Linked DNA regions of Diceros bicornis minor. The protein of the gene in region 1 purifies or fractionates together with the protein of each later gene. This does not show direct contact. Links are inferred from orthologs where the notes say so. Each region holds a gene or a part of one and is shown on either strand. Other genes may lie near its edges.

Evidence for each region. The genes of interacting proteins can lie anywhere in the genome.
Region 2: the proteins of STRN (region 1) and CCT7 purify together in Homo sapiens (affinity purification with mass spectrometry; 3 studies listed by BioGRID and IntAct, with this or other methods). This does not show direct contact. The link is inferred for Diceros bicornis minor from reciprocal best matches to the Homo sapiens genes STRN and CCT7.
Region 3: the proteins of STRN (region 1) and CTTNBP2NL purify together in Homo sapiens (affinity purification with mass spectrometry; 5 studies listed by BioGRID and IntAct, with this or other methods). This does not show direct contact. The link is inferred for Diceros bicornis minor from reciprocal best matches to the Homo sapiens genes STRN and CTTNBP2NL.

What each region holds. Positions count from the first base shown.
Region 1 is NC_080751.1:47,156,582-47,164,052, forward strand, and holds the start of STRN (striatin), read left to right. Parts: upstream 1-4,452; 5' UTR 4,453-4,591; coding exon 4,592-4,825; intron 4,826-4,966; exon of another isoform or gene 4,967-5,700; intron 5,701-7,471. UniProt on the Homo sapiens protein: Calmodulin-binding scaffolding protein which is the center of the striatin-interacting phosphatase and kinase (STRIPAK) complexes.
Region 2 is NC_080751.1:15,657,383-15,665,039, reverse strand, and holds the start of CCT7 (T-complex protein 1 subunit eta), read left to right. Parts: upstream 1-4,654; 5' UTR 4,655-4,736; coding exon 4,737-4,742; intron 4,743-7,657. Other genes in the region: PRADC1 (protease-associated domain-containing protein 1), read right to left, coding at 3-170, 445-554, 1,061-1,161, 3,399-3,465. UniProt on the Homo sapiens protein: Component of the chaperonin-containing T-complex (TRiC), a molecular chaperone complex that assists the folding of actin, tubulin and other proteins upon ATP hydrolysis.
Region 3 is NC_080743.1:45,209,471-45,217,029, forward strand, and holds the start of CTTNBP2NL (CTTNBP2 N-terminal-like protein), read left to right. Parts: upstream 1-4,556; 5' UTR 4,557-4,691; intron 4,692-7,559. UniProt on the Homo sapiens protein: Regulates lamellipodial actin dynamics in a CTTN-dependent manner. Associates with core striatin-interacting phosphatase and kinase (STRIPAK) complex to form CTTNBP2NL-STRIPAK complexes.

The sequences.
Region 1 (7,471 bases):
TAATAGTAATAATAATAATAAATAATAGAGGCTATTTTCCCATCTTATCACAAGACTGTGATATAGATTTAATTCTTGGACTCCCAGAAAAAATTTAGATATTAGAATTCCTCCACTTCCCAACTTGTGATTGGCTGTTTCCCCAACCCAGTCATTACCAGACTTCAAAACTAGGGAGTAAGTTTGGAGGCTGAGGAAAGGTAGAAGCAGAGTAGGCAGAAGGGACAGGTGACAGAAATTAGGGAGTGGGCACATGGTAGAAGGGGTTGATAAATAGTGGTTTATTGAATATTCCTTTTCCCCAAAGTTCTGTTCACCCTAGCAGAGGCCTCTCTCCAGTCCAGCAGTCCACTCCTTTTCTTCTGGCCAGAATTCTGAAAGAGCCATCAAGTTCAACTTGGAAGCTTTTCTTTGAGCAGTTAAAGAGTCAGAGACCCAAATAACTTGTCATTTAAGGGCCGGCCCTGTGGCTTAGCAGTTAAGTGTGTGCGCTCCACTACTGGCAGCCCAGGTTCGGATCCCAGGCACGCACCAACGCACCGCTTCTCCAGCCATGCTGAGGCCACGTCCCACATACAGCAACTAGAAGGATGTGCAGCTATGACATATAACTATCTACTGGGGCTTTGGGGAAAAAAATAAATAAATAAAATTATCAAATAACTTGTCATTTTGAACAGTTTTTAAAAAATAGCACTCATTTTTTTTTTTTTTTTGTGAGGAGATCAGCCCTGTGCTAACATCTGCCAATCCTCCTCTTTTTTTTTTTTTTGGTTGCTAAGGAAGACTGGCCCTGGGCTAACATCTGTGCCCATCTTCCTCCACTGTATATGGGACGCCGCCACAGCATGGCTTGCCAAGCAGTGCGTCGGTGCGCACCCGGGATCCGAACCGGCAAACCCCCTGCCGCTGCAGTGGAGCACGCGCACTTAACTGCTTGCGCCACCTGGCTGGCCCCAATAGCACTCATTTTTTTTTTTTTTTTTTTGTGAGGAGATCAGCCCTGAGCTAACATCCGCCAATCCTCCTCTTTTTTTGCTGAGGAAGACGGCCCTGGGCTAACATCGGTGCCTATCTTCCTCCACTTTATATGGGACGCCGCCACAGCATGGCTTACCAAGCAGTACTTCGGTGCGCGCCTGGGATCCGAACCAGCGAACCCTGGGCCGCCGCAGCGGAGCGCGCGCACCCAACCGCTTGCGGCACCGGGCCGGCCCCAGCACTCATTTTAATGAGAAAAAAAAAGAGCAGATGAATTGTCACTGTGTAGAACTATAATCCCTACCTCACAAAGCATACACATATAAACCAAAAAATAGCAAACACTTCAATTATCTAAATAACCTTCTAGCATTTCACAATTTTTCACTTTAAACTGGTTATGCTGATATATAAATCAACATTTCGACAGCTGCTTTCTGTGCTTGGAAAAGAAACCCTATTTTTTTGTGTCACAGGCTTTATTAATTATAAAATGAAACAATCAGGAAATCAGCAACACCTTGAGGGCTGAGGCATACGTAATAGGTGTAGGCATTAATTTTTTTTTAAAGATTATTTTAACTCTGCTGGATTAAAGTTCTGAATAGGGGATGAGAAAGGAAAAAGAACAGTTTTTGAGCCCCTAGTATTCATGATTTTTACAAGTGTTATTTCAGTTAGTCTTGTGAACTCTAGCACAATAACAGCTATCATTATTCACTTTATACTATATATCAGGCACTGTGTTAGGGGATTTACATTTCTTCTCTCATTTAATCTTCACAGTAACTTTATAAGGTAAATGTTATTCTCATGTTAAAAATGAGAGAGTTGTGGCTGAAAAAGTTAAACCATTTGTCTAAGATTTCCAGACTTGAAAAATTGTAGTGTGAGGAATAAAATTTAGCTTTCACTAATTGCCATATCCTTTCTAGTTATTGTTTTTTTTTCAAATTCAAAAACATTTTTGCTGTAGTGACTGAGAATGCACATCAAGTGGGGGCTTCTGGGATGCCTGCAATGTTCTGTTTCATGATCTGGCTGGTGGTGATGTGGAAGGGTTCAGTTTGTGAAAGTTCATTGAGTTGTTCATTTACCACTTGTGAGCTTTTCTGTATATATGTTACATGTGATAAAGTGTTTACTTAAAAAAAAGTAATTCATGCTGAATACAGAAAATGAAAAATATAGACAAGCACAAAGGGGAAAAAAAAATCACTGGTAAGCTCACTACTCAAAAACTAACAGTTTCAGAAGCTGATTCAGTATAGGAGGAAATGATGGGATTCATGGTCCTCGTTCTCTTAAAGAAATTTAGGGCAAAAGAACTCCAAGGGAAAGTCTTCTTTCAAAAGTAATGTTTTTTTGTTAAATTACAAAAGAATTAGTACCACATATGGAAATTTTTAGAAAAAGAGAAAAGTAAATTTCTTCAGAATTCCACCTTAATATAATCATTCTTAATATTTTGGTATATTGAGTGACGGTGTCATGACATTATAGATCATAAATAGTTTTGTGTATAAACAAGTCCTTGAAAAGCAAAAAGATATTGAGTAAGAAAGTCGAACTATGCACTAAAGCACAGTTGTATGTGGGATAGTCCAAGTTATCTATAAATTTGTTTTATAGTCTGTTATGAATTGATTTAAAGGCCTTTTCAGACCTGTCTTCTAACTATTAGAGAAAAAAATAGCTCTTAACATTCAACATTGTGAGATTACTTAAATCCCTCAGATGAAAAAACATGCCCTTGTTCATTATTGTCCCCTTGTTACTTGATAGGTCTAAGTAAGAGAGGAGGCAATGTGTTAACGGAAAGATCAATGAACTGGCAGTCAGGAATTCTGGTTTCTAATCTTGGCTGTGCCACTCCTCAAAGCCTCATTGTGGACAAGTTTCAACTTCTTTGGACTTTAGTTTCTTGAGCTGTAGAATGACAGGATTGGGCAGTATCTCAAAGGACAATTACAGCCAAAACAATTTATGACACAGGGAATTTGGCCAGGCCTGGATCAACCTTTTATTATAATAAAGAATGAACTCATAAAGCAGAAACATTCAGTAACTGGGAGAAGAGAGCCTGCCATCTTTATTTGCAACCAGAGCAGGTACAACGTGTTTCCTGTCTTTTCCACATGTAGCCATGGGAAGAGAGGAGGGTAGAGCACAGGGACAGGATGTCCTTCCTTTACATATCACTCACCAGACTGTATCTTTAATTTTTTTCATAACCATCAGGTCTGATACCCCACAAAACAAAAGAATTACAAAAAACTTATTCGGGTGATAAATTAAGTACTTAAAATCATTTTCATTTGTTAAATTTTTTCAGGCACCTTCCTTTCATTATGGTAGTCTGAAGTTATAATGACGTAATTTCAGGGATTTCGGAGACGGATAACATTTACCGAGAAACGCTTGAAAGGACTTTGGTGTGCCTTTGTAGGCTAATATTGTTGCCAGTTTGCAGGTGAACCGTGGAAGAAACTGGGAACGGGACAAGTGAAAATGAGAAGCGCCTGCATACCTAAGACAGTTCTAGGGAGCAGAAAGGGGACTTTGTTCTTTTAGGTAGTGTAGCTTTAAGGCACTGTGAGAATTGATTATATGCTTGCCAATCTCCCTTTGATGACAGGAACTGTGTCCTTTATCTTTATATCCCCAGCGACAGATATAACCGACAATCAAATATTTGTTTAATTGAATTGAGTAAAAACTGCACGGAAAAAGGAGACTGAAATAACAGAGCCTTGGGTATCTGAAAATTTACAGGATTTACTGCAAGATTAACTGCAAAGGGAAAGCGACTTGAGCGGAGCACTGTTTCAGATGAGGTGTGAACAAACCAGAATTTGGAAGAAGCTGAACGCTGCCAGTCTAGGAGAGAGGTCATCAGAGTTCTTTATCAGTGAAAACTGATCAGGCAACAGGTTTGAACCCCCGAGTGAAAAAGAAAGGCAGGAGCGATAGCGATACTCGGGTTGGCAGAACTGGGGAATGTCTTGGATCAGAGAAACACCGAAGTCGGAGCCGAAGAGGGAGGGCTGAGATCGGCTGGAGACCCCAGTGCAGGGGCCGGACCGGAGAAGCTCGCTTTGAGCTTGTTTCTTAACAGAACTACCAGGAAACCCTAAAAGATGTGCAGCTCGGGCCGGTATTTTGGCGTGATAACTTCCGTATGTGAGTGTGCGGCAGGGAGCACCGCCCGATGACTTCCGCGTGCGAGAGAGACTGGAGCACCGCCCCCCCGCGCCTAGCCCGACCGCGAGGAAACCCGCGCTGCCCGCGGGGCCGCCCTCCGCCGTCGCCGGCCGGGGCGGGGCCGCGGCCGCGCCCGAGCCGTACGCATCCCCACAGGCCGCCTCCGCCGCGGACGCCCGCCCCACGCCCCGGGACTACATTTCCCAGCAAGCCCCAGGCCGCTCGCGCGCCGCAGTTGACCCATTTCCCGGCCCGTCCCGGGCTCAGCCGGCCCCCGCGCCCAGGCTGCTCCCTGCTGACTGGGGTGTGGGCGGGGAGCGGCGGAGGGAGGAGGAGGCGCTGCTGGCCGCCGCCGTTGCCTCTGCTGCTGGCTGCCTGGGCAGCTCCCCGGGTCTCTGCGGCCGCCATGGACGAGCAGGCGGGTCCCGGCGTCTTCTTCAGCAACAACCACCCGGGCGCCGGCGGTGCCAAGGGTCTCGGGCCTCTGGCGGAGGCTGCCGCTGCGGGCGACGGGGCGGCTGCGGCGGGGGCGGCCCGAGCCCAGTACAGCCTGCCAGGGATCCTGCACTTCCTGCAGCACGAGTGGGCCCGCTTCGAGGTGGAGAGAGCCCAGTGGGAGGTGGAGCGGGCGGAGCTGCAGGTAAAGACCCTCCCGGCCAGGCCCTCTTCATCCCGCCTCTTCGCTCCCTTCCGCCCCGCCCCGGACCCTTCCCCTCCCCCCTCAGCCCTCGCTGGTTCTCTCCCGGTTTGCTCCCGCCTATCCCACCAGAACCTCGTCCCCTTCCCCCCTTCACCTTTGGCTTTCGCTGACCCCACTTCCTTGACCCGGGTTCCCACTCCCGCCCCTGATGCGTTGTTTATCCTCCCTGCTCCTTTGCGTCTACACCTTCCCACTCTTAACTCAGTCTCATTTCAGCTCTTGCCATCGCACGTTTTAGGTCTTCCCTGTCAGTTTACTAATTGGGCTGACAGTAGTTTTGAGAGATGCCGAGCAGATCATACACTGCCGTAGTGAGGCTCATGCTAGGTCTAGAGACGTTCCCCGCAAAAGGTATTGGCAGTTGTCTCCTCTGTCTGAAAGGAAGGTGATCAAAGAAGACAACAGAAGTTGTGTTCGTGAGGCCTTGACTTTAGGCAAGAAGCTGATGTTGGGTGAAAGTGTTACTAGGACTATCAGCTCCCCTTTTACATATGCAAATATTTCTTCTCTTCCCTCTCCCTCACCCCCTCCGCGTTTCTTTTAGGTATTTCAGATTCGTGGATTTTGAATGAAGAGCTTAGATGATCACAGTCAGGTGATGGTTTCCTGTTCTCAGAATCTAAAACTTCTCAAGTGTTAATTCTACGTTGTGTTTTGTGAGATTGACTTGTACTTTAAAAGGCACTAAACAGGGCTTTAAAGTTGGTTACATTTCCTTGCATAATCTGCAAGATAAAGTATATCCAGGGAGGAGCTATTGTGGGCTCTTAGAAGAATGAAAGTGAGGCTGACACTTTACAGGCCGTTCTGAATTGGTAAGTAGGTTTCAGTGGCTGTTCTTAAAACTTCCAAGGCAGACGCCAATTTCACAGGGAACTTAAAGGACTATGAGTGGCTGTGCTTTTCTGTTTTACTGGCTAATCCTGTATGCTTATGAAATCTGAGTAAAGTTTTGGTTGGTGAAACACTTGAAGTTAAAATGCTAGCCAATGTATCCCTTTTTTTGGTAACATGTATTTTCTTGGGCACTTTAAAAAAAAAAAGGAAAGGAGAAATCTGTTAAATAGAATCATGTGCTGGAACAGGCTGCTTTGGTGTAGTGGAAGGGGCTGTGGAAAGAGCAAGCAGGCAGGGTGCTGGCTGTGCTTGCTGCTAGCTCTGTGACCTTGAGGAAGTCCTTTAACCTCTCTTAACTTCAGTTTCATCATTTATTTATTCAGCACATTTATTGAGTGCTAGCTGTGTGCTTCTAGGCACTGGGATTAACAAAGCCGACAAAGCCTCTGCCCTCATGGAGTTTATGTTTTAGTCAGCGAATGCACCTATGTAATATACTGACCCATAGTGGCAACTGCTATGAGAAAAATAAATCAGGGTACAGAAATAGAGGGTGATAGGGGCAGATATTTTAGATGAGGTGGTTAGGGAAGACCTCTGGGAGGGGTTGAATGAAGCCCGGTGAGTGACCCATTGTTTCTAAGATTCCTTCTGGTTCTTTATTCTACAGTTAGTTGTATGTTTATATTTTTTGGCAGCTTTTTCATCCCTACTATTATGTTCCTTTAGTATTTAGTCTATTGATCTTTGTAATTTTTCTCGTAATGAATCTGACCATGTCTGTATAGTAACCAGCAGACTTAAATGCTTCATTTAAATTTATTGGTAATTCACCTTTTTAGCAATGCATTCCATAAAAGAGCTTGTGGATTTCCAGATTTCAAGGAAGCCTTAAAGGCAGGCTTTAACTTGAACGTTGTACAGTTGCAGAGAATGATTTTTGTATGTAGCTGCTTAAGTTTTAATTTCTTTTCCAGTTTAGGGGATGTAAGCTGTCACACTAATTTGGTCAAAAACAAACAAGAAAACAGTTCTTACCTTCCTACTTGTGGAAGTTTGGGAATTTCCAGCCCGTCTCACCCCTCCCCACCCCACCATGTTTAAACTTTTCAATTTACCTGTAACTAATCACTCTTCAGTTTTTTATTCAGTTTGTTAAGCAACACAGTCACGTGTTGCTTAACGATAGGGACACGTGCTGAGAAATGCACCATTAGGTGATTCAGTCTTTGTGTGAACGTCATAGTCTGCACTTACACAAACCTAGGTGGTATAGCCTACTACACATCTAGGCTGTATGGTACTAATCTTATGGGACCTCCATCGTATATGTGGTTCATTGTTGACAGAAATGTTATGGGGCGTTTGTGTGCATATATGTGCGCACACGCCCGCGCGCACACACACACACTACTTTTTCGGTTACTTATGGCAAATGTTAAACTTCAGGTAGGTTTCCAATTGGTGCTCATCATATTAAGGGCACTACATTTTTACAGTCTTTTGGTTTGTGCTCAAATTAAATTGTCGCAGAGAAACTTAAAAAATGTGTCATATTTTCCAAACAGAACAAGTATTATATTATGTATTATTGGGGGAGAGAGTTTCCACGAAATCTGTAGTCTTTGATTCCCTTAGTAGCATAATTGAAAATATATTTTTTAAATCATTTCTTTATAGCAACATCCTTAAATTTTAACATCCCTTCATTTTTCTTTTGCCGTTGGGATTTTTCTTGAAAACGATAAG
Region 2 (7,657 bases), about 31 Mb from region 1:
ACCCATCTCGGCCGAGCAGGAAAAGGGCGGGGATGTCAGCCGTGCGCTGGGTACTGTCCTGGATCATCTCCACATAGAAGCTGTCATTGTCAACCGCGTTGTCAGAGATGATCACTGCCCTCCCGCCGTGCTCCTGCACCACCCGGGTCTTGGAGAGGAAGGAGCAGCCCCTGGAAGAGGTGGTGATGAGACAAAAGGAAAGGCAGGAGTTGCCCCTCCCACAGACCGTCACCCTGGGAGGATGAAAGGACCATGGAAAATTTTTTTATAAAGGCTCGTAAGTAAATGGCCAAAAGGCATGGATAATCTTAAGACATTTCTTTAAGACTCTTAAAAAAATTAGTTATTTAAAAACAGCTCTTTGAAAGCACCACCACCAACATTGGTCTCAGAATCTACCCCGTGCCTGACCTTCCCTTGTGCCAGTGCCTAACCGCTCCTCACCCCCTCTCCACCAGAGCGATCTGGTCCTGGATGAAGAAACCGTTGGTGAGTTCCCCGCAGGCCTCTGAAGGTTCCGCGGGGACGAGGTGAATCTGCTCATACCTCGTGTGCTGAAAGACATTTAGACAGGCCAGAGTGTGAGGAGACACGCCTGCTTTAGGACCCAGCTGACAAAGGGTGAAGGAAACGGGGAGTGGTTTCTGTGCGGTGGGCACTTGAGCATTTTACTTAATTCTCACAAAAGCTTAACTAGTTGTCCTCCTCAACCCTGCCTTTCCGTGAAATAGGGGAGTTGATATGGACCCAGAGAGGGGAAGTAACTTGCCTTAAGTGACACAGTGCAGAGATAGAGCTAGCAGAGCCCTTGGTTTTTCACCATTTCATGTCACCAAAGAAGACAGCTTGTCCCTCCATCGTGCGCAGGTTTGTATTATACCCAGAGGAGTAGCTGGAAGACCTTCCTTCCTGCACGGCAGCCCCTGGAGGGCAGAGCTGGATTCTGCTCCCTTCCCTGTCCCAGCACTCAGGTATTGGTTGAAGGGATAAGAGGGTCACCTCAGCTTAGTAGGGGGAAGGTGGAGACAGGATCAGAGACCTGGGGGCCTCCTGAACTTACAAAGATACCACCAAAGTCCTTGGCAGGTGTGGCTGTGAAGATGTAGCGAATGTCCCCAGGACTCAGCACTTGGAAGTACAAATAATCATGGATGCGTAAGCCTGAAAGATAAAGAGTACAGATGAGAAACCTCCAGGGAATGAGCTGGTTCGGGTTCAGATCATGGACCTGTGTCTTCAAATGGGCTGGCTATAGTCTGGGCCCAGGGACCCAGCTTCAGCCAAGTGGGTCCTCCAGGTGGTAGAGCAGATGGGGAGAATAGAGTTGCCCTGGGGAGAATAGAGTTGAGCAGACAGAATTAGTAATCCCAGAGATGTAGCTGCTGTTGCTGCTACACAGGTGAGCCAGGAAGACTGAGAGCTCTAGTGTTCTCTCTCTGAGGGTTAATCTGTCTTTGCTCTGAAGTGGACCCGAGAGTTTCAAGGTGGAGCTGTGGTACCAAACAGTCCTCACTAAAACTTAAAAGTTGACTGTCTGGTGCCGGCCTGGTGGCGCAAGTGGTTAAGTGCGCGCGCTCTGCTGCGGCGGCCTGGGGTTCGCCGATTCAGATCCCGGGTGCGCACTGACGCACCGCTTGGCAAGCCATGCTGTGGCAGCGTCCCATATAAAGTGGAGGAAGATGGGCATGGATGTTAGCCCAGGGCCAGTCTTCCTCAGCAAACAAAGAGGAGGATTGGCAGATGTTAGCACAGGGCTGATCTTCCTCACACACACACAAAAAAGTTGACTGTCTGGTTCCACTGCCACTCCCCTAGTTCAGCCACTATCGTTTCTTGTCCTGACTATTCCAGCTTCTTAACTGGTGTGTCTTCCTCCATTCTTGCTCTCTAAGGTCCATTCCCCAAACAACAGCCAGGGACCTTCTTAAAACGTCCTAAAGCAAATATGACCATGTCACCACTCATGGCTTTAATACCCTTCAACAACTTCCCTTTGCACTTAAAATCTAAACTCTTAGCTAAGGCCTGCGAGACCCTGCTCCATCTGGCCCTTGGCTACTCCTCCAACCTTATCTCTTCCTTCCTATGTTGAAGCTACGCTGGCTTCCTTCCAGTTTCTTCACTTCTCTGAGTCGTCTTGCAAGCTGCTCCCTCTATCTGGGAGGCTTCCTACCCTCACCCTACCCCACCTCTACCTCTTTGCCTGGCTCACTCCTACTCATCCATTAGGTCATAGCTTAAATGTCACTTGCTCAGAGAAACCTTCTGCTTATGACTGCCCTCCCCTTATGCCCATTCAAAATGTACTTTTTCTCCATTGAGATTTTCAACATATTTTATAATTATACAGTATTCATGATTTTTTGTTTAATGCCTGTCTCCTCCACTAGGGCAAGGACCATAAGTTTGTAGCTTCATTCAATGCTGTATCTGCGTTACCTAACACAGTGGCTAGGATGTAGTGAGTGCTCAATAAAGACTGTTGAATGAGTGAACAACAACTATTTTCAGCTCCATTGCCCTGAGGAAGAGAACTGCCAGCATGACCAAATTTTTCTGGGGTGGGGGAACATCTCTTCAGCACCAAACTTTAATGTTTTACCTGGACTTGAGTCCCTGGTTTTCTTAGCCCAGAGAGACTGAGGAATGTGGAAGGGTAGAAGCTGCTGCCACAGGTCCATTAGTCTATCAACAAACCACCAAGCCACTACTATGTGCCAGCGTTAGGACTGATTGTGCCTTTAGCTGTCATTGTCTACTGCCCAAATCACAGCCGCCAGGTAGAGCTCCATCCATTGGCTTGGCACTGGGCTATACAGCCTTTTATCCTGGGAGTGGTGACTTCCCATCAGACACAGATACACTCCCAGGAAGCCTTCCTGGACTAGCACAAACTCCTCCTCCTCCCCACACACATCTTTGCATCTGCTGATCTGTGTAAATTAAATGTGGGTATACGTATGTGCTCATGTATGTGTGTGGGTGTGTATGTGTGCTCATGTAGGTGCAAACAGGTTGTGTGTGTACCTGCGTACTTGTGCGTGTGAGCCCACGTGTAGGAATGTGTGCTCCTGTATATTGAGTGCTCACATACATATCTCTAGCCGTCCCTTATTCCTCCTCCTGGTCGCCCCCTCAGCCACCTGGGTCAGCGCTAGTGGGGTCTGGGGGCAGTCTTGCTTCGGCGTGAGGAGCTGAGGACTAAGAGCCTAGCCTCAGGCCGTGCTCAGCTCATGTCCCTGGGGACCAGCACCCACCCACTCCAGTCTCCCGTCCCCCGACCTGCCCTGCCCTGAATTCGCGGGGTCCCCAAGGTGACCCGTGGCCCCCGGCCCGAGACGCGTGCCAGCTGGACGGCCAGCCCCGCCCAGCAGCGCAGCCCCGCCGTTGCCACTCACCGTGGGCCGCGACGCACGCGGGGAGCCAGAGCACGAGACAACACCAGCCCGCGGCGCCGGGGACCATCTCCAGGGCCCGGCCCGGCACCGCGCTTCCTCCCCCTGCCCCGCCGCGCGTCGCTCGCCGGACTTCAGCCTGACAGCTGCTCCGGCCTCCCGCCCCCAGACCCGCTCTCGCCGCTGGTTGGTGGACGGGAACGAGGACCACGGCTGATTGGCTCTGACGCCTGCTTATATAACCGCACTTTCCGCCTCTGCGCCTTAGCCCACTTCCTACTGGTCGAGAGAAGTGGGGCCGAGGGGTGATTGGTCTAAACTCTTAACAGCAACTGCCGGCCCCCACCCCAACCCCGCCCCAGCATTTCTCAGTGTAGGTTCGACTCTCCAGGACCTAGCTGGCTGGTGGGCGGGCCGGGGAGGACAGGGAAATGGAGGTGGGGACCCTGCAGGACTCGCTTCAGCCGCCGAAAATCCTGGTCGTCAGCTTTTGCGGTCTCGGCCGGATCCTCCCCGCGGCCGCCTCGCACGACAGCGATTTGCCTTCTCCCAACTGTGCCTCCCTCTTCTCCACCCCCTCCTTGGGAAGACATTCGTCTAGCGACCCGGTGGTCACCCGCGACCCGCGCTCTGCTCGGCCTCTGCCCATATCCGACAGCGCTTGCGCGCTCACTGTCGGTAGGCGCTGGGGACGTGGCCTGATGCACCCCACCCTGGAGGAGGCTCTAGCCAGTGCAGAGCCAGAAAGCGGGCTTTGGGGCCAGGTGCCCACGCCTGCCTTTCTATCAGTTACTGTGTAACTATGACTTTGAACACCTTTCCTAACCTCTCAGCCCCAGCTCCCTCACCTGTAATATGGGCATGATAATAGTACCAAGGCGATAGGGTTGCAAGGATTAAGTGAGACCTCTTACGAAGTGCTTACTTAACATGAGCCTGTCCCACAGTCAGCGTTTAATAAATGTTTGCGTTTATTGCATGCCTTGGTCTGCCGTCCAGGGGGAAAGGGGGAATGCAATTAGGGTTAGTGGGGGTCACGCGGGCTGAGCAAGGATACTACACGCTCAAAGAAAAGGCACGACCGAAATCCGGTGACCTTTCGCTAACCAAAGCTTCTCGCTACAGCACCCTCGGAGGCCCAGCCTCGGGCCCTTCTAGCAACATCGACTCTGTGGTAATGAACCATAGGGTGGCGGAAGTGGCCCGTCCCCTTCCTCTCCCGGTCCAACCGCTCGGTGAAGCTTCTGGGGACTTCTCTGGCGCGGTGCATTGTGGGGTTGTTGGGCGGCCTGGATAAGGAGACGAGAGGAAGAGTAGCGGGCCATTGAATAAGCTTCCAAAATGATGGTGAGTGGCGTCTCGCGCATCCGTCGCCATCCGCTGCCATCTGGCCCATGGCTGGCGCCGCTCGGCCGGGGTCGGTCCTCTAAGGCCCTCCCCTGCCTACTGACTCTGTCCTCGCCCCGGCCCCCTGTCTGTGGGCGACCCCGGCCCGCCGCGGCCTGGCTTGGCCCGGGCGCGAAGCAAGGGCCCTGGGCGAGGGCTGTGTGGGGCTCGAGGGGAGGCTCTGGGCGGGTTGGCTGGGGACTACAAGTCCCAGGGTGCTTCGGGGCCGCGAACCCGCGTCGGAGACCCGGTTTTTGGAGCCCCTCACAATCTTGAGTTGTGTTAAACGAGTGCGGATTTGGCGCGCATACGCGGTCGGCGAGCAGACGTGGAAGCCCTGGCTTCCCTGGGAAATGCGGGTTGTAAAGACATGTGCCTCCTAGAACGGGCAGAAGCAGCATGGGACCTTGGGTTGGGCTGAGCCCCAGGTCTCAACTATGGTCGCTCGCTACGCCCCAGCTCGGCCGCTGCTGATAAACGGAAACAGACTCCTCCGCTCTCACTTTAATTCGTTCATCCACTCGTTCATTCGTTAAGTAAATGCGTATTTAGTGCCTACCGAATGAACCATGCCCAGCTGGTTGTTGGGGGTGCAACAACTCAGCCAGGAGAATGGGCAGGGCAGATGGGGACACTGCATCAGAGGGGGGAAGACGGCTCTGACTCCGACCCTGTCTGCCCCTTCGGATGTGACGTTAGACCAGGCTTTTCCAGTTGGCCAGCTCACCCTGGGTCTCGTTTTCTTAGATTAGGGAGGTTAGTGAATCCTAACCTAGGAGGCTCCCTGTAGCGCCCTTCGGCAGCATTCCTTCTCTGCATCTCAGAGCTGCAGGTACTTTACATGAGACCCAAGCCTCGGTGGTAACTCCTGAGTTGCTGTTGAACAGGGCCAGCTTTTAAGGAAGTGTTTGAGGCAAAACCCGACTAAGTATTGCTCCCTGTGCACTTGGCAGTTCACTCTTTCGCTTTGGCCTATCAGTCCCACTCAGTTCTCTGTTCTTTTCCTGCTTCCTGCCTCTTCTCTCTGTCCTGGTAGATGTCAAGCTGACACCTGTGAGGTGTTCATTTCTGCTACCAAATGCCCTGTGACTCCAGCTTGTACCCAAGAGAGAAGGAACCTGGCATTTATCTGTACCCCCCTCCTCTTCATACCCCAGTACTGCCCTTTTTCAGTCCTCTTCAACATCATCTATTCCTGAAGTCCTCTTCATTTTCTGTGCGGAGGCAGCATAGTAGAGGAGTAGAGAGTAAGGGCTCTGGAGCCACACCAAATGCCTAGGTTTGTAATTCAGTACTGCCACTTACTAAGTGTTTGACTTTGAGTATGTCATTACATTTCTGGCCCTTAGTCTGTTAGAGGGGATTAAATGAATTAATACGTATTAAGTGTGCCTAGCCTGTAGTGAGCACTCAGCAAATGTTAGCTGTGCTGCTGGGCAGTTGCTTGCTTCCTTTCTTCCCTGTAATCCATCCTGCTGCCAAGGCTACCATAAGAGTTTTGGTTGGCATTCAAAGAATGGGGGTCAGAAGCAAGGTTCTTCTGTCCAATGATGAAACCGTTCCCCAAGAGGCTCCAGACCACCACGCTTGGGTTTTTCCGGGACTGACCCCTGCTCTGTTTCCCTGCTGTATTGGCTGTTTATATCTCTTCTTTTGGAATGTGAAACTTCTGCCACCAGAATCCTCCTTGCTGTCATCAAATTGGTCCTTGATATTCTAGAAGCCTTCTGTGATTGAAAGAGAGGTAAAAGGTCCCCCAAAACCTCAGTCCTGTGACTTTGGTACAGCTTGTGCCACAGAACGTCCTTGCCTTTGTGGTGTTGAGCGCTGTATGCCTTGGCATATCAACACGTTGTTGTTTTATAGAACATCAAGCTTAATAAGGCTCAATAAAAGTTTTTAAGGAGGATGAAGAGGAAGATCATTAAGCTAAAATTCCCAAGTCTTCCATGATATCCTTTGCAGGGTACTGGAATCTGCTATTGTTTGTTTACATGAATACGAATGAGTGAGGTTGAAAAGTAACTTAGGGACAGAAGCTGGGCTTTCCATAGTGGTGCCTGCCCCTGGGGAATGGATAGAAGAAAACCTATCCTGCTTGACCTGACTTAGCTCAATCCAGCTCTGCCACCTTTTCCTCTCTTCCCCGCTTCCACATAGCGTCTCTCTACCCGGCCTGCCATTTCTTTTTTTTTTTTTTTTTTTTTTTTTAATTTTTTGTTTATTGCAGTAACATTGGTTTATAACATTGTAAAAGTTTCAAGTGTACATCATTGTACTTCTATTTCTGCATAGATTACATCATGTTCACCACCAAAATACTAATTACAACCCATCACCACACACATGTACCGAATTATCCCTTTCACCCTCCTCCCTCCCCCCTTCCCCTTTGGTAATCACCAATCCAATCTCTGTCCCTATGTGTTTGTTTATTGTTGTTATTATCTACTACTTAATGAAGGAAATCATACGGTATTTGACCTTCTCCCTCTGACTTATTTCACTTTGCATTATACCCTCAATGTCCATCCATGTTGTCACAAATGGCTGGATTTCATCGTTTCTTATGGCTGAGTAGTATTCCATTGTGTATATATACCACATCTTCTTTATCCATTCGTCCCTTGATGGGCACTTAGGTTCAAAATCACTAACTATCAGGGAAATGCAAATCAAAACTACAATGAGATATCACCTCACGCCCGTCAGAATGGCTATAATTAACAAGACAGGAAACAACATGTGTTGGAGAGGATGTGGAGAGAAGGGAACTCTCATACACTGCTGGTGAGAGTGCAAACTGGTGCAGCCACTATGGAAAACAGTATGGAGATTCCTCAAAAAATCAAGGATAGAACTACCATATGATCCAG
Region 3 (7,559 bases), on another chromosome or scaffold:
CTCAGATGAGAATACTTGAAAGAGTGTAAACAGATACACAGGTAGACAGACCTGTTTTTAATAACGTTGTGCTAAATGTCCTCATTTTGGGGGAAAGGTGTTTGAATGTTTGTGGGCATGAGGCCACTTCCTCCTTTTCTTCAATATAGATATAAATCTTGTTGGCAACATATAGGAGAAACAATGAGAGAAACAGATGTACACACAGAGAGAGAGAAAGAGACAGACATTCACACACACCCACTGAGATACGCCAGAGATGCCTGAGTCTTAAAACAGAGCTAAACAAAACAAAAAGCTGATACCCATCATGGTGTCCCAGAAAGTGGATTAGACTGGATCTTAAAAAGACATGAGTGTGAGACCTAGTTTTACTATTTAACTATAATCTTCAGTAATTCACTTAACAACTGTGGCCTCAATTTTCATCTATAAAATGAGAGTGCTGAATCAGATTATTTCTGAGGTCCCTTCCAGCTTTATGAATCACATTTTAGCGGAGGTTTTTCCACTACACAATTCCTAAGGCTGATAAAATGAGAAGATCAGATGTAAACAGTGGTTACCAAGCAGTGGTTACTAAGGAAGCCTCTGTAATCAAATTACCAAGGTTCAAATCCCATTTCTGCCATATACTAGATGTGAGACCTTGAGCAAGTTATTTAGCCTCTGTGCCTGTTTTCCCATCTGTAAAATGGGGATGATGACGATGAATTCATTGGTGCTGATTATACATCAATCCCCATCACCTAAGGTTGTTGTGAGGACTGAATTAATGCATGTCAAGTACTTAGAACACTACCTGGAACATATTAATGTTTAGCTCAATAAATGTTTATCTTTTTATTATTACTATTATTGCTTGAATTCTTAGAAAACTATGTTATAAAACTCTGAGGTAGTGGTAATTAAGGTTGATAAGCTCAATTATATCATCATTAATTTCTGTACTAAGCATAAATCCAGAAAATCTGTTATCCTAGAATCTGCTTTGAGTAGAGCACTGTGTATTTGAATAGAGTACTGAAAGTATTTTCAATGTTGACCTTAAAGAGTATTAGCTTTATTACAGAACTGGTTTCTTAAGGCTTACTTCAAAGTCTATATTGACAGTACTGGATAAACAAGCATCTCGATCCCTTAGCACTGTTGTAATTTCTTTGTAAGTGTACTATTCATATTATATTTCAGGATCCTGAAATTGATAATCTCTAAAAGTGTTTCAAAACCATTCTGTTTTATATAATGCTACGTATAGTATGGCTGGAAAAAGCAGACTGATAAGACAAAGCAAGGCATTCTGAAAAATGTGTTATAGCAGTCTTGTGGTAAGGGGAAGGCTAGATCTAGTTGCTCTGATGGTCTTTAAAAGTAGTAAATGATTAGCATGTCGTATTAGTTTGCTAGGACTGCCATAACAAAGTACCACAGACCGGGTGGCTTAAACGACAGAAATTTATTTTCTCACAGTCCTGGAGGCTGGAAGTCCAAAATCAACCTGTCAGCAGAACTGGTTTCCTCTGAGGCCTCTCTTGGGCTTGTAGATGGCTGTCTTCTCCGTCTGTCTTCACATGGTCTTTCCCTGTCCCGTGTTTGTGTCCAGATTTCCTCTTCTTGTAAGGATACCAGTTATATTAGATTAGATCCCACCCTAATGACCTCATTTTAACTTAATTACCTCTTTAAAGACCTCATCTCCAAATGCAGTCACATTCTGAGGTCCTGGGGATTAGGACTTCAACATATGAAATGCGGGGGGGACATAAATCAGCCCATAACACATTATAATACATAGACACATAAAAGTCCAAATAGTCCCGTAATACCTGTTAACTTCAACTGAAAGAAGATCGATTTGACATTTGTAGTAAAGCTTACATTGCTTAGTATTGTAGAATTCAGTAAAAGGAGATTTTACACCTTGGTTTTAGAAACTTTGTAAATAATAATAGCAAAAACACCTCGCTTTAGTAAATGTACAGAAGATCTGCTTTCTTGATCAGAAAATTATTTTCTGTTAGTTTTTTGACGTATTTTTCTTCCCTAGCCTAATCCTAAAATGCCACAAGTGGAATGAGAGGTATAGTTTGGAATGTTGTCACTCTCTTACCCCCAAATGCATAAATAACCCTTCTGAAAAACCAGAAGTGCCAGAGGGTGGGGAAACTTACATCTTTTGAGATAGTCAAGGTAATGTGTCAACACCTTCCACCCCTAAATAGGAGGTTGCTTTGGATACATTTTTAAAAATAGCAGTGCATTTTTGTCCATATTTAGATTTAGTATTTATAAATGTGACATGTTTATTTTTTTTTTAATTTCATATATACTAAGTTTTTAAGGAAGTACGTTATCTAGTGGAAAGCTGTCAAAAAACACCCATTTTGTATGTCAGTGTTGACTCTGAATTTTGAGAATTAATTGGCCTCCTGTATTTTGGTTTTGTTTATATGTATGTGAAAGAGTCTACATAATTGGAGCAGACTTGCTTTATATCTTTGCCATATCTTATCACTAATACTAAAAACTTACTGAATGGCCTGAATCTCAGTCAATTGTAGCCCAAGTATAAATTTCTTAAATTTGATGTCTGAGTATGTAATAAAGAAGTGATTTTTATCCAGTTTTGCAAGAGTGATCTCCTGGGTAAAACAACTGATTTGTTTTTTATTCTAGCCAAGTTGATTTAAAAAAAAAATGTAGTTTTTTTGAGGTGTTTCTATGTCCAGAAATATCCAAGACTCATCTAGAAATGTTGTTTTCCCTCTTCCATGCCCCATATCACCCACCACTTAGAAATAAAGCCTTCAGTTCCACATAAAGACATACGCACACCCAGATACTAGATAGACAAACATCTTACTTATACTCCACCCTGCCCTGCCCTACTGCTTACATAGCTATAGAAGCTGTTTGGGGTGTTTCTTTTTCTGCCACCCAATCTCTATGTGTTAAAAAACAACAACAATGCCTGCTATCCTATAGAATTAATTCAGAGTTCTAAAGCAAAAGCTGGGACTTCCTCAAGAAGGAAAAAGCACAACCACAACCAGAATGAGTGGAGCTTAGGTATTATCCAGAGAAGGGAAAAGGTCAGAATAAAATGAACAGAGCCCAGGCCACAGCAGCATACTTCCATGGCAAAATCAGCACTGCCCTTTAGGAGGCTGGGAGGGTGGGAAGGAGGGTGCCCTTCTTAATAGCCATAACTCTTGTGACCGTTGGCACGTGAAAGTTCATATAGAAGAGACTTCTGCCCTCCTGGCTATTGGCCCTGACTTGGTGGGAAGTAGATTGTGAATAGACCAAATGGTATGCTGGGCAAACTCATGTTTGAAATCAGTTACTGATGACTTAAAAACAAGTTTCCTACTTAGCCCATAAATAGCCTTATTTTTCCAGGGTATTAAAATATCTATAACTTTATCTTTTTTATTATATGTATTTTTTAATTGAGAAAACTATAAAGCTTAATATAGCTACAGCTGGCTGTACCACAGGGTATGATAATGTATCCAGACAACTTGTCCACAAATGGTTTTCATTTCAAATTTATAGACTGTAGCATTCCTTAGACAGAAACATCTGCCTCTAAACTCTAAGGAAAGTTGGGTCTTAGAGAGATTCTAATGGAAGGAATGAGCTGAGCATCTGGTTGAAATGATCTTGTCTTTCAAAGTTACTTACTAGATGATGACAATGACAAGTAACAGCTCATTTACAAAATAAGTAGAGAATGACTCTGTAGACTACAACCTGGCATGCCAAAAATCTAGCAGTCATATTTCTGATAATGAATATGGAGTTAGATACAGCCTTTTTCTGAAAATATTGGGCCACATGATTTATATGTTGGGCAGAAAGTAGAGTCCAATAGACTTGGTGCCTTAAAATACGAGACAAAAATTATGTTTTATCAAATAAAATTTAAAGCCTATAATTTTTTTAAAAGTTTGCTGGGTCTAATACACTCTTATGAAAACATAAAAAAATTTGTATATAATTCAACATTTAATATTTTAAAATAAATGGGAAAAAGTAGAAGCTGGGATGAATGATCACCCTTACAGACAAAGTTGAGATGGTGACAGGTTGTCTTTTTGTTTATTGATTGGCAGGAGGTGAGCAGATGAGAATTCTCCTTACGCGAATTTGGCAGTTTAAAAAGTTCAGTTGTAATTATGTTATTTTTCTATCTGAGTGCCTTGTGCATACGTCATGGTGATTCAAGCAAATAGGCTTTTGTCAATACGGGGAGAGAAAGTCAGTCTCTTCTAGTGACATTCATAAGTTAGTCCTTGAAATGACAGTGGACATCTTAAAGTAAAAAAGATTTTGAAAGTTCTCACTTTTCCTAATTATAATTGCAAAAGGGAAGTCAGATTCCTGGTGTTTTTCCTGTATTGCTTAGCCTCAATTTGAAGAAGTGGCTATTTTCTTCTTTCTTGTCTGTATCAACCTACAGCTGTCAGGCCTCATCACCTGTAATGACGGTTGACATTCGTGGGATTTACAAAATTGTTTGTAGTGTGGTCACACAGACAATAAATTTCTTATTATTTTGCAGCATTGGACACTTTTCCACCATGCTGACGGCATTTTAAATATATTCGTCAATTTTCTCAAATTGTAACTGAAGAAAACCTTAAGAATTTATACTTGAGGACTGAAGTGTGACTGCCAATAATCAGGTCAGTATCACCCCCATCCCCACCCCCACCCCCACCCCAGGAATATCACTGCCATCTTAAAACATAATGCAGTTTTACTATCTTTCATTTATATTTCTGACAAAAATTTATTGCAATGTTTTGTGTATTGAGATTAGATACAAATGTAAAAAACTGCTAAATTTTAATATTTATAAAGAAAAGTTATGGGAATATGGGAAAACAGACCTGTTGGTTTTTTAATTATACAGCTGTGGCCCTTTATTTCCTCCTGTGTCATATTTGTATTGTATTCACTTCATGTAGACAGTAAGCTAAATGAGTTGGTACATATTAGCAGAATGTTCCAGGTATTAAAATTGGTGTACAGAAGTGATTTACAAATGTAAAGATAACAAGAATATTGTTGTTTATGCCATTGACAAAGAATAGAATTTTTCCTGCCTAGGCTGGACTGCTTTATAATTAAAGTAACTATGCAGATTGTTTCAATTTTACTTCAATTTTTATGAGGATGTATATTTATCACAACAGATCAAAGACTGATTTAGGTACAGTCTGTTTTAGTTCTTTGTGTATTTACCTCTTACTCTTATTTAACAGGATTCTCTAACAAATAATTCTTGATTTTTACCATAATTCTTGATTTTTACCCATGAAAGCTTAGAATGGAACCAAGAAGGACCTTAGAGATTATCTAGTCTGTCTTATTTTACCTGTGAGGAAACTCAGTGCCAGAGTAACTGGGTAATTTTTTTCTTCAAGGCCATATAGCTGTTTAGTGGCAGAGCTGAGATTAAAATTCTGCACTCCTCACTCCCAGTTTTCCTCATATCATACTGCTTCTTTAAGCCACAGCTTTGGATCTCTAAATAAGAATATTTAAGGACTATGAAGATATTGAAGGAAAAAAGAGTAATATGTGTGAACACTATCATTTTTAGTTCTATTCCTACCTTCCTACCTTGGTGCTTGTCCATCCAGTTGATTTACTCAGTGCAGTGGGTATTTATGGAGCCTCCTTACCAAGTCCCCATTATTTCCGTTAACATCATAGGAGGAGAGAGGAAGGGCATAAAATGATAGGATTTTTCCTCTGCCTTATAATCTCTCAGAGAGAGATTAAAACATGAAACCATCAGGAAGAGGGAGAAGGGTTTCATCTAAGAAACCAGTGTGACTCAACTGGTAGTTTAAATCCTTCACCGTTCTTCACTCCAGGATGCTATCACCCTTCTTCATTTGTGGTTCCCAACTACAAAAGGGCAGCTGAAGCTATTTCTGAGGTCATTGATCTTGGCTGCCCCCAGATTTGGGAATGCCTTTCTTAGAATTCTTTTGGAAGAAGAGAAGATAGTAGTTATTAATGATTAAACCATTGTTCAGCTTATATCAGGAACTTGGCAAGATGTTTTCCACTTATTAACTCAGTCTTCACAGCAACCTAATGAGTTAGATGTCGTCATCCCCCTTTCACAGATAAGAAAACTTGTCCAAAGTCACACAACTAGGAAGATGCAGACCTGGCATCTATCTGACTGCAAAGCCACGTGCTCTCTCCAGCATACCATCTTATATTAAGTATAGCTTTTCTGGGTTTGTTGTTTTTTTAGTTCTTATTTTTAAAATAACTGTTGTGAAATGTCTCTCTGATACTGAAGTGAGAATCACTTATTAGTTGCTAAAACTTACTAGGTAGAAAGTTAGCAGTTAGAGGTGAAGTTACATTGAACATATTTTACCATGGGGCAAAAGATTGGTACAGCATGTCCTGGAACACAGTCTAACGTCCTCTCCTTCATTTAAAGGCAGTAGCTCTGGAAGGAGTCAATGACTCTTTTGTGTGCCTCCTAAAATTTAATGTGCTTCTAGGAGTCAGGAATTACTGGAGGGTGTGTGAACTAGTTATGTTGTGATTCACCTTAAAGAAAACTATGAAAGTGGCTGGGGCCGGCCCGGTGGTGCAAGCCGTTAAGTACGCGCGCTCCGCTGCGGCAGCCCGGGATTCACCGGTTCGGATCCCAGGTGCGCACTGACGCGCTGCTTGTCAAGCCATGCTGTGGAGGCGTCCTATATAAAGTAGAGGAAGATGGGCACGGATATTAGCTCAGGGCCAGTCTTCCCCAGAAAAAAGAGGAGGATTGGCATCAGATGTTAGCTCAGGGCTGATCTTCCTCACAAAAAAAAAAGAAAACTAAAAGTGACAATTTGGAAGTAAAAAGTGGGAGAGGGAAAATAGTATTTGCTCTACTTTGGAAGTTATAAAATGTATCTTACTATACACAGTGGTCAGGAGACTCTTAAAGATTGTGTAGCAGTCTAACTTTTATGTATAGTTGCTGAGACATTAATCTTGTGGAAAGGACTGAACTTGTGCCATGCAATTTGCCATTTAACATATTTCAAAAGATGCAAGACTTCATAGAGATGTGAACTTGTTAAGTCAAATAAATTCAGTCTGTAGTAGCCTGGCCAAATAAGCTGTTTAAACAATATATTTTAAGCAGTCATTTAAAAGTGTATTTGTATATATTTGCATTTAAGTCTTATTTTACTATATGGAATATAAATATTGTGATAGATGTTCTCTGTGAAAGTAGACAATTTAAAAGAAGAATTTCACCTATACTCCTACCAAACATTATCTTTGCTCAAATTTTATTTCAGCCAATTTCAGAGGGATGCCAGAATGTTTTATATACAGTTTTGGAATTTGGTTATCTAAAACTTGGAAATCTTTTCATGGTCTAACAATTTTTCAGTGGAATAGTATTCATTGTAATACAATTTTACCTGAACTTCTAGTGAACAAAATTAATGACTAATTCTTTCTGAGACCTTCTAGGATGTTTGTAAATATGCCTAGAGGAAAAATGATGAAAAATTGAT